Linked DNA regions of Saccharomyces cerevisiae S288C. The gene in region 1 interacts genetically with each later gene. Each region holds a gene or a part of one and is shown on either strand. Other genes may lie near its edges.

Region 1 (8,165 bases):
GATTCTCTCAGCGATATCCATAAACAGTGTGAATTCCTCAATGACAGTAGAGACTATGGCAGCTAAGCCTGTCTTCAACTGCAGTAGGTTCTCTGCTTCGGATGAACCTAGATCTGCTGTGATAGCTGTAGAATTAGGGTTATTTGGGGCGCCAAATAAATCTGTATCAATGCCATTTACCGCAGTTTCTATATCAGAGAGAATACGGCAGTAATCCTCTAACTTCTTCTCGTAGAGATGAATTTTCTTTTGAAAGAATTTGTCTAAGTCATTAGAAGAAATTTTGCTTCCCGGAGTTAATAGTTGCTGTAAGAGCACCGAAAAAGTTTGCGTGTCTAGAAGGTCCTCATCGATTAGCGATTTAAATGAGGATATTTTCTTCAAATCTTGCTTTAAATATTGACTTGTTGCAGATTCTGACTTCAGTAGGTATGCAACATCACGAGGAATGGAATCTATCAATTCATCATGATCGATTGTATCGGCCTTCAAATGGTGCGAGATCTGCACTTGTTTTTGAATATATTGATCTAGTTGTTCAATTTCTTGACGTATTTGAGGTGGTAATTCGGAAATCCGTGTCATTGGGGTAATAGGGAGCTGAGATAGATTTTGCAATGCGCACTGCATTTGTGGTTGTTGCTGCAGTTGCTGCTGCTGATTACCAAATAGCCCGCCTGACGCACTCATGATGTTGTTACTATTATTGTTATTGTTGTTGTTATTTGATGAACCAAACAAAGACGTTGCTCCTGTCGGTTTGGAGCCAAATAACCCTCCACCAGTGGTCGTATTACCTGCATTATTGCCGAATAGAGATGTACCAGCTGGTTTTGCACCAAACATGCCCTGGTTCTGCGCAGGGGCCGAAGAGGTGCTTGTATTACCGAACAAAGAAGTGCCTCCTGCAGGTTTAGAGCCAAATAGTCCAGCGCTTGCATTATTCATGCCACTACTACTATTATTGATATTATTAGTGTTATTATTACCAAACAAACCACGACTCGTCTGTGCATTGTTGGAACCAAACAAACTGCCAGAATTACTGTTCGAATTAGCGCCAAATAACCCGCCCCCAGTGTTCGCCGTATTGTTAGGTTTGTTACCGAAAAGGCCCCCTCCGGTGGTGGCGCTTCCTCCAAATGCATTTGTCTGAGATTGTTGTTGCTGCTGACCAAATGATGCACCTAATCCTCCTGTAGATCCGGCTGGTTTAGCGCCAAATAGTCCACCTGTACTTGGGCCGGTGTTTTGTCCAGTTTGAGTCCCACCAAACGAAAACCCAGTATTCGCGTTTCCAGTGCTAGCTCCGCTGGCCTGACCAAAGAGCCCACCTGCAGGTGTCGAAGATGCTTTATTTAATCCAAACATTGTGCCCACTACCCGTGAAAACCCTCTCAATTACTGTTTTTATCGTCTCATCACCTGATCAGTAACTATTCTCACGATTAATGGTCTTTTTCAACTACATTTATTTGAGAAAGCTGTAATACATTCCGTGTTGAGTGATATATACAACCTCCTTTGCTCGTCTTTTCGCCACCGCAGAGCAAGTAACAACAGAGACAAACAAGAAGAGGTTAGAAAGCAATTTAAGGAGTAGTTTAACGAGTACTGAAAACGTCAAACTAAGTACTTACGACTTCCAATTACCGGTTGTAAAGTTTATCTACGCAAATATAACAGTTGCAGCTTGCTTTTTTTTTCAGCAGCTCTTCCGTTATTATAAAATCTGTTTGGCGTTCGCACAAGCGAACCGATTCTTTTATTATTTTCTCTCTGCCTTTTATTTCCGTTCCTGTTAATAGTTTATTTTCTAAAGGATACTGTCTTCTTCCGTACTTATAATCGGGTTCACAATAAGCAATTGACTAATCCTAGGACGATTCGTGTACTATAAGGAGAAAAAAAATCAACACTTGTAACAACAGCAGCAACAAATATATATCAGTACGGTATGGGTATTCCAAAATTTTTCAGGTACATCTCAGAAAGATGGCCCATGATTTTACAGCTTATTGAGGGAACACAGATTCCTGAGTTTGATAACTTATACCTGGATATGAATTCGATTTTACATAATTGTACGCATGGTAACGACGATGATGTAACCAAGCGATTAACTGAAGAAGAGGTTTTTGCAAAAATCTGTACGTATATCGATCACCTTTTTCAAACAATCAAGCCCAAGAAGATTTTCTACATGGCTATTGATGGTGTGGCCCCTCGTGCCAAGATGAATCAACAAAGAGCTCGTAGATTCAGAACCGCTATGGATGCAGAAAAAGCCTTGAAGAAGGCTATTGAGAATGGTGACGAGATTCCTAAGGGTGAGCCATTTGATTCGAATTCTATTACTCCAGGTACGGAGTTTATGGCCAAATTGACCAAAAACTTACAATATTTTATTCACGACAAGATTTCTAACGATTCCAAATGGAGGGAAGTGCAAATCATATTTTCTGGCCATGAAGTTCCAGGTGAAGGTGAACACAAGATCATGAACTTTATAAGGCATTTAAAATCCCAAAAGGATTTCAACCAGAATACGAGACATTGTATTTACGGTCTTGACGCAGATTTGATTATGCTGGGTTTGTCTACTCATGGGCCACATTTTGCGTTATTGAGAGAAGAAGTGACATTTGGTAGAAGAAATAGTGAAAAAAAATCGCTTGAACATCAAAATTTCTACTTATTACATCTTTCTTTATTAAGAGAATACATGGAGTTGGAATTCAAAGAAATTGCCGATGAAATGCAATTTGAATACAATTTTGAACGTATTTTGGATGATTTTATTCTTGTCATGTTCGTCATTGGTAATGATTTCTTGCCCAATTTGCCAGATTTGCACCTTAACAAAGGAGCATTTCCCGTTTTGTTACAAACGTTCAAAGAAGCTCTTTTACATACTGATGGCTACATTAATGAACATGGTAAAATAAATTTAAAGAGATTAGGTGTCTGGTTAAATTATCTGTCTCAATTTGAGTTATTAAATTTCGAAAAGGATGATATAGACGTTGAGTGGTTCAACAAGCAATTAGAGAATATTTCTTTGGAGGGTGAAAGGAAAAGACAGAGGGTTGGTAAAAAATTACTGGTAAAACAACAGAAGAAATTAATTGGAAGTATAAAACCATGGTTGATGGAGCAATTACAGGAAAAATTATCGCCTGATTTACCAGATGAAGAAATTCCAACTTTAGAGTTACCTAAGGACTTAGACATGAAAGATCATTTAGAATTTTTAAAAGAATTCGCTTTTGATTTGGGTCTTTTTATAACGCATTCCAAATCCAAAGGTAGTTATTCGCTAAAAATGGATCTTGATTCTATTAATCCTGATGAAACAGAAGAAGAATTTCAAAATCGTGTTAATTCTATCAGGAAAACAATAAAAAAATATCAAAATGCTATCATCGTGGAGGACAAAGAAGAATTGGAAACTGAAAAAACGATTTATAATGAAAGGTTTGAACGTTGGAAGCATGAGTATTATCACGACAAGTTAAAATTTACGACAGACAGTGAAGAAAAAGTGAGAGATCTTGCTAAAGACTACGTTGAAGGTTTACAATGGGTTCTATATTATTATTATAGAGGATGTCCATCTTGGTCGTGGTACTATCCGCACCATTATGCACCAAGAATCTCCGACTTAGCCAAGGGTTTAGATCAAGACATTGAATTTGATTTGAGCAAACCATTTACTCCATTCCAGCAACTAATGGCAGTTTTACCGGAAAGGTCCAAAAATCTGATACCTCCCGCCTTTAGGCCATTAATGTACGATGAACAGTCGCCAATCCACGATTTCTATCCCGCTGAGGTTCAACTTGATAAAAACGGCAAGACAGCTGATTGGGAAGCTGTGGTTTTGATATCGTTTGTAGATGAAAAAAGGTTGATTGAGGCTATGCAACCTTATTTGCGCAAGTTATCACCTGAAGAAAAAACGAGAAATCAATTTGGCAAGGACTTGATATATTCCTTTAATCCTCAAGTTGATAACCTTTATAAGAGTCCGTTGGGCGGCATTTTTTCTGATATTGAACACAATCATTGTGTCGAAAAAGAGTACATCACCATCCCATTGGACAGCTCCGAGATTCGGTATGGTTTATTACCTAATGCTAAACTCGGTGCCGAAATGCTGGCGGGTTTCCCCACGTTATTGTCTTTACCATTTACTAGTTCACTGGAGTACAATGAGACAATGGTTTTCCAACAACCTTCTAAACAACAATCAATGGTCTTACAAATAACTGACATATACAAAACGAATAATGTTACTTTGGAGGACTTTTCCAAGAGGCATTTAAACAAAGTGATTTATACAAGATGGCCATATTTAAGAGAATCCAAATTGGTCTCTTTAACGGATGGTAAGACTATCTATGAATATCAGGAGTCCAATGATAAGAAAAAGTTCGGATTCATAACGAAGCCTGCGGAAACCCAGGACAAAAAACTTTTCAATAGTTTGAAGAATTCAATGCTAAGGATGTATGCTAAACAGAAAGCTGTTAAAATAGGACCTATGGAAGCCATTGCTACCGTCTTTCCAGTGACTGGTTTGGTGAGAGACTCTGATGGTGGTTATATTAAGACCTTTAGCCCTACCCCAGATTACTATCCATTGCAACTGGTTGTTGAATCTGTTGTCAACGAGGATGAAAGATATAAAGAAAGAGGACCCATTCCTATTGAAGAGGAATTTCCATTGAATTCAAAAGTTATTTTCTTAGGTGATTATGCCTATGGTGGTGAAACTACTATTGACGGTTACAGCAGTGACCGCAGACTAAAAATTACTGTAGAAAAGAAGTTTTTGGATAGTGAGCCCACCATCGGCAAAGAAAGGTTACAAATGGATCATCAAGCCGTTAAATATTATCCGTCTTATATTGTGTCCAAGAACATGCACTTACACCCCTTGTTTTTGTCTAAGATTACTTCCAAGTTCATGATTACTGACGCTACTGGGAAGCATATCAATGTTGGTATCCCGGTTAAGTTCGAAGCTAGACACCAAAAGGTTTTAGGTTACGCGAGGAGGAACCCTAGGGGCTGGGAATACTCAAATTTAACTCTAAATTTACTGAAAGAGTATAGACAAACTTTCCCAGATTTTTTTTTCAGGTTGTCCAAGGTAGGTAATGATATCCCAGTTTTGGAAGATCTTTTCCCCGATACTTCCACTAAGGATGCCATGAATTTATTAGATGGTATCAAACAATGGCTAAAGTATGTCTCATCGAAGTTTATCGCGGTATCTTTGGAGTCTGACTCCTTAACTAAGACATCGATTGCTGCCGTGGAAGATCATATCATGAAATACGCAGCTAACATCGAAGGTCATGAAAGAAAACAGTTAGCCAAAGTTCCTCGTGAGGCTGTTTTGAATCCAAGATCATCATTTGCACTCTTACGTAGTCAAAAGTTCGATTTGGGTGACCGTGTTGTTTATATCCAAGATTCTGGTAAGGTACCAATTTTCTCAAAGGGTACAGTTGTTGGCTATACTACTCTCAGTTCATCATTATCAATTCAGGTCTTATTTGATCATGAAATCGTGGCCGGTAATAATTTTGGCGGCAGGTTGCGCACGAATAGAGGCTTAGGGCTTGATGCCTCTTTCTTATTGAATATTACTAACAGGCAGTTCATTTATCACTCCAAGGCTTCCAAAAAGGCTTTGGAAAAGAAAAAGCAATCTAACAATAGGAACAATAATACCAAAACTGCTCACAAGACTCCTTCAAAGCAACAATCTGAAGAAAAACTGAGAAAAGAAAGGGCACATGATTTATTGAATTTTATCAAAAAGGATACCAATGAAAAGAATTCTGAAAGTGTAGACAACAAGAGCATGGGATCGCAAAAAGATTCCAAACCCGCAAAGAAAGTTTTGTTAAAAAGACCAGCTCAGAAAAGCAGTGAAAACGTGCAAGTTGATTTGGCCAATTTTGAAAAAGCACCGCTTGATAATCCAACTGTTGCTGGATCTATTTTCAATGCCGTTGCAAATCAATATTCTGATGGTATAGGCAGTAATTTGAATATCCCAACTCCACCTCACCCAATGAATGTGGTTGGGGGTCCTATTCCTGGAGCGAATGATGTTGCAGATGTTGGTTTGCCGTACAATATTCCCCCAGGTTTTATGACGCATCCTAATGGTCTTCACCCATTACACCCTCACCAGATGCCTTACCCTAATATGAATGGAATGTCTATTCCGCCACCAGCACCACATGGGTTTGGACAACCGATTTCCTTCCCACCTCCACCTCCTATGACAAATGTTTCAGATCAAGGAAGTCGTATTGTTGTCAATGAAAAGGAAAGCCAAGATTTGAAAAAATTCATTAATGGTAAACAGCACAGCAATGGTTCAACTATTGGGGGAGAAACAAAGAACAGTAGGAAAGGCGAGATTAAACCTTCTTCTGGCACAAACTCTACTGAATGTCAATCGCCAAAGTCACAAAGCAATGCTGCTGACCGTGATAATAAAAAAGACGAATCTACTTAGAACATACGACTAAAAACGAAGTATATTCGAGGTTACTTTAATAGTATATCTGAGACCTATATAAAGAGGGGTATTTGTATTTAATCGTTGATCTTGTTAAGAAAAAGCTTATAACAAATGGGGATTGTCAAAGGGTATTTTTTACACAAAGCTTTCCGCATAGTTATATATTATCTCATTTTCAATAATCCTCCTGTAGGGTGTAGCTTTGCACTTTCTTCTCATTGATCTCATTTTGCTTAGCAAACCATTTTTCTTCAAAGCCATTTGATCTGTGGACACCGTCCCATCTTGACCCAGGCATAATGGCAAACCTGTTCTCAGGTGCTGGCTTATCATAAAGCTTGCGGCCCAGTAAAGATGTTTTTACAGTTCTTTCTTTGTCATGTGTAAATGTTATTGCAGGGTCTTCTATCGTCAGACTCGAGGCAGTTTGATTTTTCTTCTTATCATGTGCATCTACATTTATTCCAAGCTTTTGCACGTCTCCCATATTCAAATTTTTCAGGTATTGCTCTCTTTCCGCGGCTTTCTCATCTTCATATTTAGATCGACTAAAACTAGAATCGTCTATCTTGGAATCTTCCTGAATCTTGTGACCTTGAGCGTCTCTGTATATGGTTTTTCGTGTTTTCGATTTGTCTGCTACTGTGACAAGTGGCTCTTGAGCCCTGATTTCCTTTAGATCGTTCTTGCTTTCGTTGCCAGTAATTGACGATGCGGAAGGATGTGTTATTGCATGGGAAAGCTCGTTTGTTTCCAGGTTCTTCCATATATTCTTGCTTTTTTGTTTGTCAAACTTGCTGAATGAAGCAACTCCTGACTTCTCCTGTTCTTGTTGCAGTGTACTTAGCCGTTCTTTTACTATCAAAGAAGTTTTGTCTGAGTTAGCGTCTGATTTTGACTCTTTCTTCTTCTTTTTCGTCTTATTTTTGGGTTTCGTGGGCCCATAAGTCTCTGATAAATACTGATGCAATGCCATGTAATAAACGTCCTGTTGTTATCTTCCACCATTCGAGTCTTGAGAACAACTTTCAAAATCAAGTCAAATAGCCATTTTCTTTATGCCATTTTCTAAGCGCGTTCTACAAAAAAAAAGCTTTTAAGCTTTAATACCTTTTTTGTTTACGTTTGCAAACATTGTTATCGTTCACATACCTGCATTTCCATCCATGCTGTAAGCCATTAGGTGTTTGTATGTGAGATGGTGACTGGTGAAGAAAATGTGTATCTAAAGTCAAGCTTATCCATTCTCAAGGAGCTCAGTCTCGATGAACTACTAAATGTGCAGTATGACGTGACTACCTTAATCGCGAAACGTGTTCAAGCACTGCAAAATCGGAATAAATGTGTTCTCGAAGAACCTAACAGTAAACTGGCTGAAATTCTATGTCACGAAAAAAATGCTCCTCAACAATCCTCTCAGACGTCTGCGGGGCCAGGTGAGCAAGATTCTGAAGATTTCATCCTTACTCAGTTTGATGAGGACATAAAGAAAGAATCAGCAGAGGTTCACTATCGTAATGAAAATAAACACACTGTGCAGTTACCGCTGGTTACTATGCCACCTAATAGGCATAAACGGAAAATTTCGGAGTTTAGTTCGCCTTTAAATGGCCTC
Region 2 (4,729 bases), on another chromosome or scaffold:
AGAAACTGTACAAGACGAAGTAAAACATTATGAAGAGACGATATCCAAATTAACCCAGGAGCAACTACAAGTGTTGGAGACAGAACATTCGGAACTGCTAAATCAAAAAAATGAGCAATTGAAAAAAGTGGAGACTATAAACAAAACAATTTTAGACATTGTCAATATACAGAACGAATTGTCCAATCATTTAACGGTGCAATCTCAAAATATAAACCTAATGCTGAACAATCAAGATGACATTGAATTGAATATTAAGAAGGGAAATAAAGAATTACGTAAAGCGAAACGAGCTGCTGGAAGAACTGCTAAAATGACCACTTATGGTGCCATTATCATGGGTGTTTTTATATTGTTCCTAGATTATGTAGGTTAATATCACTTTCATAAGATATGTGTAAAATGGGTTAAAAAAATCAATCTATCATCAACTTATTACTATTCATTTTATATATTAAACAATAAGTATGAATGCCTAGTATAATTTCTTAGTTGTAGGATTACTGGCATGCAATTCTGCCAACTGCGATAACCTTATGATCTATTGATGTTAAAACAATATTGTTGGTAATGTATTTGGAATCAATCACATTAAGAGCAAAGTCTGGTTCTATAATTTCGACTTCGACAATAAGTGACTGATTTGGATTAATTGAGATGTCGTTAGTCCCGAGAATCTTCACCAATTTTACCGCGTTGTGCGTCAAATTATGGTAAAGAAGCAATTCAGAACCCAAGTCAACGGGATCACTTAGCGCGTGCGTTTGTATTGATAATTTTATTAAACGCAAGGCTAACAACTTTAGTGTGTTTGGTAAATTCGGTGATAGTGTATTCGTCTTTCTAGAGTGAATTATTATATCACCCTTACGAATGTGAAATTGCTTTTTCGTGAAGTCTTCGGTATTATGAATCTTAACAAGAACCTCTAAAATGTCAGGGTTCAAACCGACTGATATATTATTTTTTGTGTTAGTCTCCAGTATTTGTTTTGAATTCTTCATTCTTGAAACTATACCATAGTAATGAAAATCTTCATATTGTGTATGAATTTCAATTGTCTGGCCTGATTGAATATATCCGCTGTTGATCAAGACTTTGAGTGACACGTAATTTATCTCCGCTATCGGTTGAAGAACAGAAGATTGCAGTATTGTGCCTACAAATGGCTCTTCCAAAGTTGTTTCTATTTTGTTCATATTATGCTCTACCAATAGATATAGTTGCGAAAAAAATGTCGGACCTTCATACCATTCGGGAACATAATTTATAGAGTCAAATTCTGACTTATACTTAGATTTTGTGATGTTTTCAGTTTTATTCAAATTCGAACCTAATAAACCCGAACACGGGATAAATTGGAATTCTGCGTCTGTCCACTGAAAGTTTTCCTTCAACACATAATTTAGCTCAGACTGAATCATTTCTAGTCGGTGCTTATCCCAACTAATTAGATCTGCCTTATTCAAAAGAATTATCAAGTGCTTTTTGCATGCGGAATTCTTGTTCAAATAAGAGATCACTTTTAAAATTTCATAAATCTGATTATTTGGACCATCTAATGATTTTTCCCACGAGTCATAATTGCAATCAATAACCAATACATAAACTTCAGGATCAAAGGTCAAAATTGAGTTCAGAGTTTCTTTATTGAAGTATTTGATACTACCAGGAGTGTCTATAAGCGTCAAGGTTGATGATGGCGGTAGTAAATCATTTTCTACCTGAATAACTTTCTTAAACATGGAAAATCCATTTTCTCTTTCTGTTTTGGTATTGTCTAGAATGACCTTAAAACTATTTGAAGATGAAGGATCCAAATTACTGCTTTTTTTTTGTAGTTCCCTCATTGATGACATAGAAATTTCGTTTAGATCATATAAAAGATGACCAAGCAAAGTGGATTTGCCTGCGTTTGTATCACCGAGGAACAAACATGTCAAATTCAGAGGATGGGTGGCAATGAATGAATGAATATCAATCGACTCAGTAGGTGGTGTTTGAAGGTTAATTGGTTCCTTTTTTTCGGCCTTGGGCACAGATTTGATATTTAAGTTTTCTAATTTTTCATTGAAAGCATTAAGTTGGGCCGATTGTATTATATCATCAGGACTTGGTCTATTGAAATTCTCAATGGCTACTTTACGAGTTGTTTTCGGCAGGTTACAAGGCACAAAAATACCAAGGAGCTCATTGTTATGCTTTTTTAAGGACAGAAATGATGAATTCTGCGACGATAGCGGTATTGATGTACTCAACGAGTTTTTTTTATCTTTTATGATAAAGTTTGTGAACGCAAAATCGTCGGTTTGATTTATGCATGGATCGTTTTTCAAGAAACAGTAATGGTTCATTTCTTTAATAGCCTTCCATGACTCTTCTAAGTTGAGTTTATCATCAGGCGATTTCCTTTTGGTAGGGAGTTCGTTTTCTTTGCTGTCTAATGTCACTGATTTTCCTTGTTTCTCCAAATCACTATTTGACTTCTTTAAGGCAGACAACTTTAAACTCAATGAAACACTATGCTGGTTCGGGGTAAAGTCGCTTCTTTTTACCTTGTCTTTTGCAAGTAGCGTCTTCAGATCCTTCCTTTTTGTCTCAGCATTGTTATCTTTAGTTTCTCTATTCTTATGTAGTCTTTCTAGTAAGGATGCACTTTTCGATGTACTATGAGACTGGTCCGCACTTAAAAGGCCTTTAGATTTTTCTATTCTTTTTCTTGCTAATTGCTCTAATAACGACATGTCAGGTGGTACTGTAAGTTTCGAAGACCACCTCCTCGTACGTGTATTGTAGAAGGGTCTCTAGGTTTATACCTCCAATCTGTTATAGTACATATTATAGTACACCAATGTAAATCTGGTCCGGGTTACACAACACTTTGTCCTGTACTTTGAAAACTGGAAAAACTCCGCTAGTTGAAATTAATATCAAATGGAAAAGTCAGTATCATCATTCTTTTCTTGACAAGTCCTAAAAAGAGCGAAAACACAGGGTTGTTTGATTGTAGAAAATCACAGCGATGGCAGATTATGATAGTGCGAAATATTGGTCCAAGCAGGGAGCTCGTCGTGGGTTACAGAAAACCCGTTACTACTGCCAAATATGCCAAAGGCAATGTAAAGATGCAAACGGATTTCAATCACATAACAAATCGCCATCTCATTTAAGGAAGATTAGTCAAGTGACAGCTGAGGACGCTAGGCGCTACAATATCCAGTTTGAAAAGGGATTTCTACAGTTATTGAAGCAGCGGCACGGAGAAAAATGGATTGATGCTAACAAAGTATACAACGAGTATGTTCAAGATCGCGATCATGTACATATGAATGCCACCATGCATCGTTCTTTGACGCAGTTTGTCCGGTACCTAGGCCGCGCGGGCAAGGTAGACGTGGATATGGATATTGATGATACATCTGAGAACGTTGAAGGTCCTTTGCTTATCAGGATCCATCCCTCATCTTTATCATCACCTTCTGAAGATGGAATGCTGCGAAGTCAACAAGAGGAGCAAGAAGTCATAGCCGCCGAGCTTTTGAAAAGACAACTCAATCGTGCTAAGCGACAAACTGAAAAGGTATATCAACCAGAGATGAAATCGGAAATTAGCGGGGATAGCACTCTGAAACGTGTTCAAGTCACCTTCCACGGGAATGGTCGGGTAAATAAAAAGAAAAAGAAGGTTCCTCCACGGAAAGATGGTATCAAGTTCCGTTGATTGAAAATTTTTCTTTTCAAGCGATGAGGTTAGCGAAGTTGTTCGAACAAGCCCAAATATGTTTAGAAGGCAGTACGAATTGATACCCTGAACTGTTACTACCCGTATACACGTATTAAGTAAGACAATGAGTAATGGACACGTCAAGTTTGATGCCGATGAAAGTCAAGCCAGCGCAAGTGCTGTCACGGATAGACAAGATGATGTGCTGGTAATATCAAAAAAGGACAAGGAAGTGCATTCAAGTAGTGATGAGGAAAGTGATGATGATGATGCTCCACAAGAAGAAGGGCTTCACTCTGGGAAAAGTGAGGTAGAATCACAGATCACTCAGAGGGAGGAGGCTATAAGGCTGGAACAATCACAATTGCGGTCCAAGAGAAGGAAGCAAAATGAATTATACGCCAAGCAAAAGAAATCAGTGAATGAGACAGAGGTCACTGATGAAGTAATTGCGGAGCTTCCTGAGGAATTGCTAAAAAATATAGATCAGAAGGACGAAGGTAGTACGCAGTACTCATCTTCAAGACATGTAACTTTCGATAAATTGGATGAGTCAGATGAAAATGAAGAGGCATTGGCTAAAGCTATAAAAACTAAGAAAAGGAAGACATTAAAAAATTTAAGGAAAGATTCGGTGAAAAGAGGAAAATTTAGAGTTCAATTGTTATCCACCACACAAGATTCTAAAACATTACCACCAAAGAAAGAATCATCCATCATACGTTCAAAAGACCGTTGGCTAAATAGAAAGGCTTTGAATAAAGGGTAATATATAGCATACAACATAATAAAATAATAGTACAATCACAAAATTAATCATAATGTTCATTTATCTATAATCAAACAATGAGAATATATACTGAAGTTTGGTAGGTTATTCTTCAGAGATGCAGTACGATATCACCAACGGTATGCAGACACCTATCAAAACATAAACGGATTCATCATGAGGTAAAACGACTTCCTGTTCAACGCTGAGATCGTGATCATGAGAATCTCCACCAA
Region 3 (3,357 bases), on another chromosome or scaffold:
TATGACCGTTGTGTGTATGGAAGGCCCACAATTCTCCACGCGCGCTGAATCCAAGATGTACAGAATGTTTGGTGGCCATGTTATTAACATGAGTGTTATTCCAGAAGCCAAATTGGCGCGTGAGTGTGAGCTGCCTTACCAGATGATTTGTATGTCTACCGATTACGACGCATGGAGAGATGAGGCAGAACCTGTTACCGTAGAAACCGTTATTGGTAATTTGACGAATAATGGGCGCAATGCAAATATTTTAGCTTCTAAGATCATCGTCTCAATGGCCAAGGAAATCCCAGAGTTCATGCATACTGGCGATGGGCTGCGCGGTTCCATCAAGAAATCTATCTCTACCAAACCAGAGGCTATGTCCAAGGAAACCTTAGAAAGACTAAGATACTTATTTCCAAACTATTGGTAATGGTTGCCGCTAATCATATGTAAAATATAAATAGGAGAGAAAACATATATAGCTATGGAAAGTATTAAATGTTTTTTTGCTGTTTTTATATTTTCCCCCTTGGGGACTGTGAGTTCATCATATATGCATATTTGCTACTTGGAATGTAGCCCTTCCTAGTTACAGGGGTATGCGGCGAGTTATTGTCATTGTTAGCGCTCACTAATGTGCTACTGATACCGCTATGCCTCTGCAGTGTGCCAAATACATTCTTTGTGTGTAAGGATTGAGATTGTAGTTTCGTCTGTTCCTCCGCCATTTCCCTTTGTCTTGCTTTCAAAGGCGTCTCTAAGCCTTTGAAGAGATATGCTGGATGATTTTTGAGATTTGTTTGAGGAATATGTGTTTTGTTCTGTGCCATTTGGCTGATCTTAGAAGTGGATACGTAGTGGGGGTGTTGTGGCTGCAACCCAGTATCGACAGATGATTGCATGTCTACCCCCAGGAGCTTCTTTTGCCTGTCAGTGAGATTCAAATCACTTACTTTGACGGTGGATAAGAGCTTCCAAAGAGAAAACAGTATATTGAGCGAGATTAATAGGTGGAACAAGTAGTCAAGAAGTTCTGCATTCAACCAACTGAACGTGGTGTGATATATGATGTTAGCCTTCTTTAACGTGTGAAATGTCAACATGTACAGATGGATTCTGGATAGCCGGTTGCAAAACTGTCTCCCAACATGAGTGTTGTTCCAAAAGAACTTGATGAACTTCACCAGCAGGTTCCAGAACGCAAACGCAATTACGTTTGTCATAATTCTCTGCGTCTCCATTTCCTTGTTTACCGTTCGCCGTGATAGCTCCTTGAGCACAGGACTTTCAAAGTTGCCCAATTTAAACATTGGTGTGTCATTTTGTGATTGTGATGAGGGTTTGCTGTCTGTGTCCGGCAATGGTCCCGGCACGTCATTATCGTCCAGGCCCAATTGGCCCGCCTGAATCTTCATAGTTCCCTCTATTATTTTTTTGCCTCTGCGGATATATTAAAAGTCTGTATATTGTCAAGTTCTTATAATATAAATCTTTTTGTTCATCATAACCATCTTATTAATTGTTATTATTTCTATCATTATTACTATTAGCACAAATTTCATTTTTTTTTTTTTTCATTTTTCTTTAGACTTTAGCCCTAATTAGACCTGAGAAATATTATTATAACCTGAGAAAGGTTTATAAAAAGAACATTATAACCTACAAAAAAGATACTTAAACCCTGAAGTTAATAGGTTTGGACCCTCTTTTTTTTTTTTTGCTTTTTTTTAGAAAACCTCAGTATTCACAGTCTAAGGAACAGATAAAGAGAAGCTTTATGAAAGCAGTCCACAGTGCCACGAACTTTGACATATATAATTGACTTGTGGGGGCTACCGACTGGCTTATATTTCTAAAATTTAGAGATTTGATTATCTTTTTCGCAGCGCGTAAAAGAAACCCACGAAGCATCGCTTAATTTACACATATTCTTCGTTCTCCCCTTTTGGAGAGGATTTAAGCTAAGATATATCTTTCTTCGAGCGCAGTGCTGCTTTTGAGTTCTTTCGTTTTAATTTTCCACTTATTTGGCAATAAAAACTGAGTGAAGAGTGCTTCTCTGTCTGTTTTAGGGAGCTTTTTCAGATCATCATCAGATGGGATTTATAGCAAATATACTGTGCTGTTCTTCAGATACTTCCAAAACACATCGTCAACGCCAACCACCAGAAACTAATCACAACCGCAACCGCAACCGTAAGCACAGTTCAAACAAAGCTCAAACTCAGGGTCGTAAGCAGAAGGCTACTCCAAACGGCGACAAGATGCAATATTCCACACCGGAGATCCTTTTGTCTAGTTCCGATTCAGGCAGCAATGCGGGTTCCAAGACAATGCAGGAGAATGGGAATAGCGGCAATGGAAAACTAGCACCTTTATCAAGAGATCACTCCAACAACTCGTACGATGAGGAGAAAGAATATGAAGATTATAATGAAGGAGACGTAGAAATGACGGAGGTTAACAATGCCGGAGAAGAAGAAGAAGAAGATGACGAAGCAAAAGAAAAGCAAGACCATGTCGTTCATGAATATAACGTTGACGCAGATAGAAATTCCAGTATTAATGACGAGGCGCCACCACAACAGGGTCTGTATCAGGTGGGTCAAGAAGATATGAATCCACAATATGTCGCCAGCAGTCCTGATAATGATTTAAACTTGATACCTACAACGGAGGAGGACTTCTCTGACCTGACGCATTTGCAACCAGACCAGTACCATGCCCCCGGATACGACACTCTGCTACCACCCAAGTTGCAAGAATTTCAACAGAAAAAATGTCTGATATTGGATCTAGACGAAACTTTGGTACATTCTTCCTTTAAATATATGCATTCAGCTGATTTCGTTTTGCCCGTCGAAATCGATGATCAAGTTCACAATGTCTATGTTATTAAGAGGCCAGGCGTCGATGAGTTCTTGAACAGGGTGAGTCAACTATACGAAGTTGTTGTGTTCACGGCAAGTGTTTCGAGGTATGCAAACCCCCTTTTAGATACGTTGGACCCTAATGGAACCATCCATCATCGATTATTCAGAGAAGCTTGTTATAACTACGAAGGTAACTACATCAAGAACTTATCGCAGATCGGAAGACCATTGTCCGAAACAATCATCTTAGATAATTCGCCGGCCTCTTACATCTTTCATCCGCAACATGCTGTTCCGATATCTTCTTGGTTCTCTGATACTCATGATAATGAGTTACTAGATATTATCCCACTTTTGGAGGACCTTTCATCAGGAAACGTGTTGGATGTGGGGAGCGTGTTGGATGTGACGATATAGATTTCTCAGTAACATAAAAAGCAGGCTCTTTTTATTACCCCCCCCTTCGGTTATATGTTTGGACGAACTCATGTTTCTCTTT

What was found.
Region 2: mutations in XRN1 (region 1) and SKI7 together harm fitness more than expected from each alone (negative genetic interaction), as found in Saccharomyces cerevisiae (6 studies listed by BioGRID, with this or other methods).
Region 3: mutations in XRN1 (region 1) and POM34 together harm fitness more than expected from each alone (negative genetic interaction), as found in Saccharomyces cerevisiae (4 studies listed by BioGRID, with this or other methods).

The regions. Positions count from the first base shown.
Region 1 is NC_001139.9:173,906-182,070, reverse strand, and holds XRN1 (chromatin-binding exonuclease XRN1), read left to right. Parts: upstream 1-1,957; coding exon 1,958-6,544; downstream 6,545-8,165. Other genes in the region: FG-nucleoporin NUP49, read right to left, coding at 1-1,371; BUD13 (Bud13p), read right to left, coding at 6,726-7,526; ssDNA endodeoxyribonuclease SAE2, read left to right, coding at 7,749-8,165. UniProt on the Saccharomyces cerevisiae protein: Multifunctional protein that exhibits several independent functions at different levels of the cellular processes. 5'-3' exonuclease component of the nonsense-mediated mRNA decay (NMD) which is a highly conserved mRNA degradation pathway, an RNA surveillance system whose role is to identify and rid cells of mRNA with premature termination codons and thus prevents accumulation of potentially harmful truncated proteins.
Region 2 is NC_001147.6:468,877-473,605, forward strand, and holds SKI7 (Ski7p), read right to left. Parts: upstream 2,745-4,729; coding exon 501-2,744; downstream 1-500. Other genes in the region: UFE1 (Ufe1p), read left to right, coding at 1-376; RTS2 (Rts2p), read left to right, coding at 3,023-3,721; BUD21 (Bud21p), read left to right, coding at 3,849-4,493; Mn(2+) transporter ATX2, read right to left, coding at 4,599-4,729.
Region 3 is NC_001144.5:178,207-181,563, forward strand, and holds POM34 (Pom34p), read right to left. Parts: upstream 1,401-3,357; coding exon 501-1,400; downstream 1-500. Other genes in the region: MEU1 (S-methyl-5-thioadenosine phosphorylase), read left to right, coding at 1-415; PSR2 (putative phosphatase), read left to right, coding at 2,082-3,275. UniProt on the Saccharomyces cerevisiae protein: Functions as a component of the nuclear pore complex (NPC).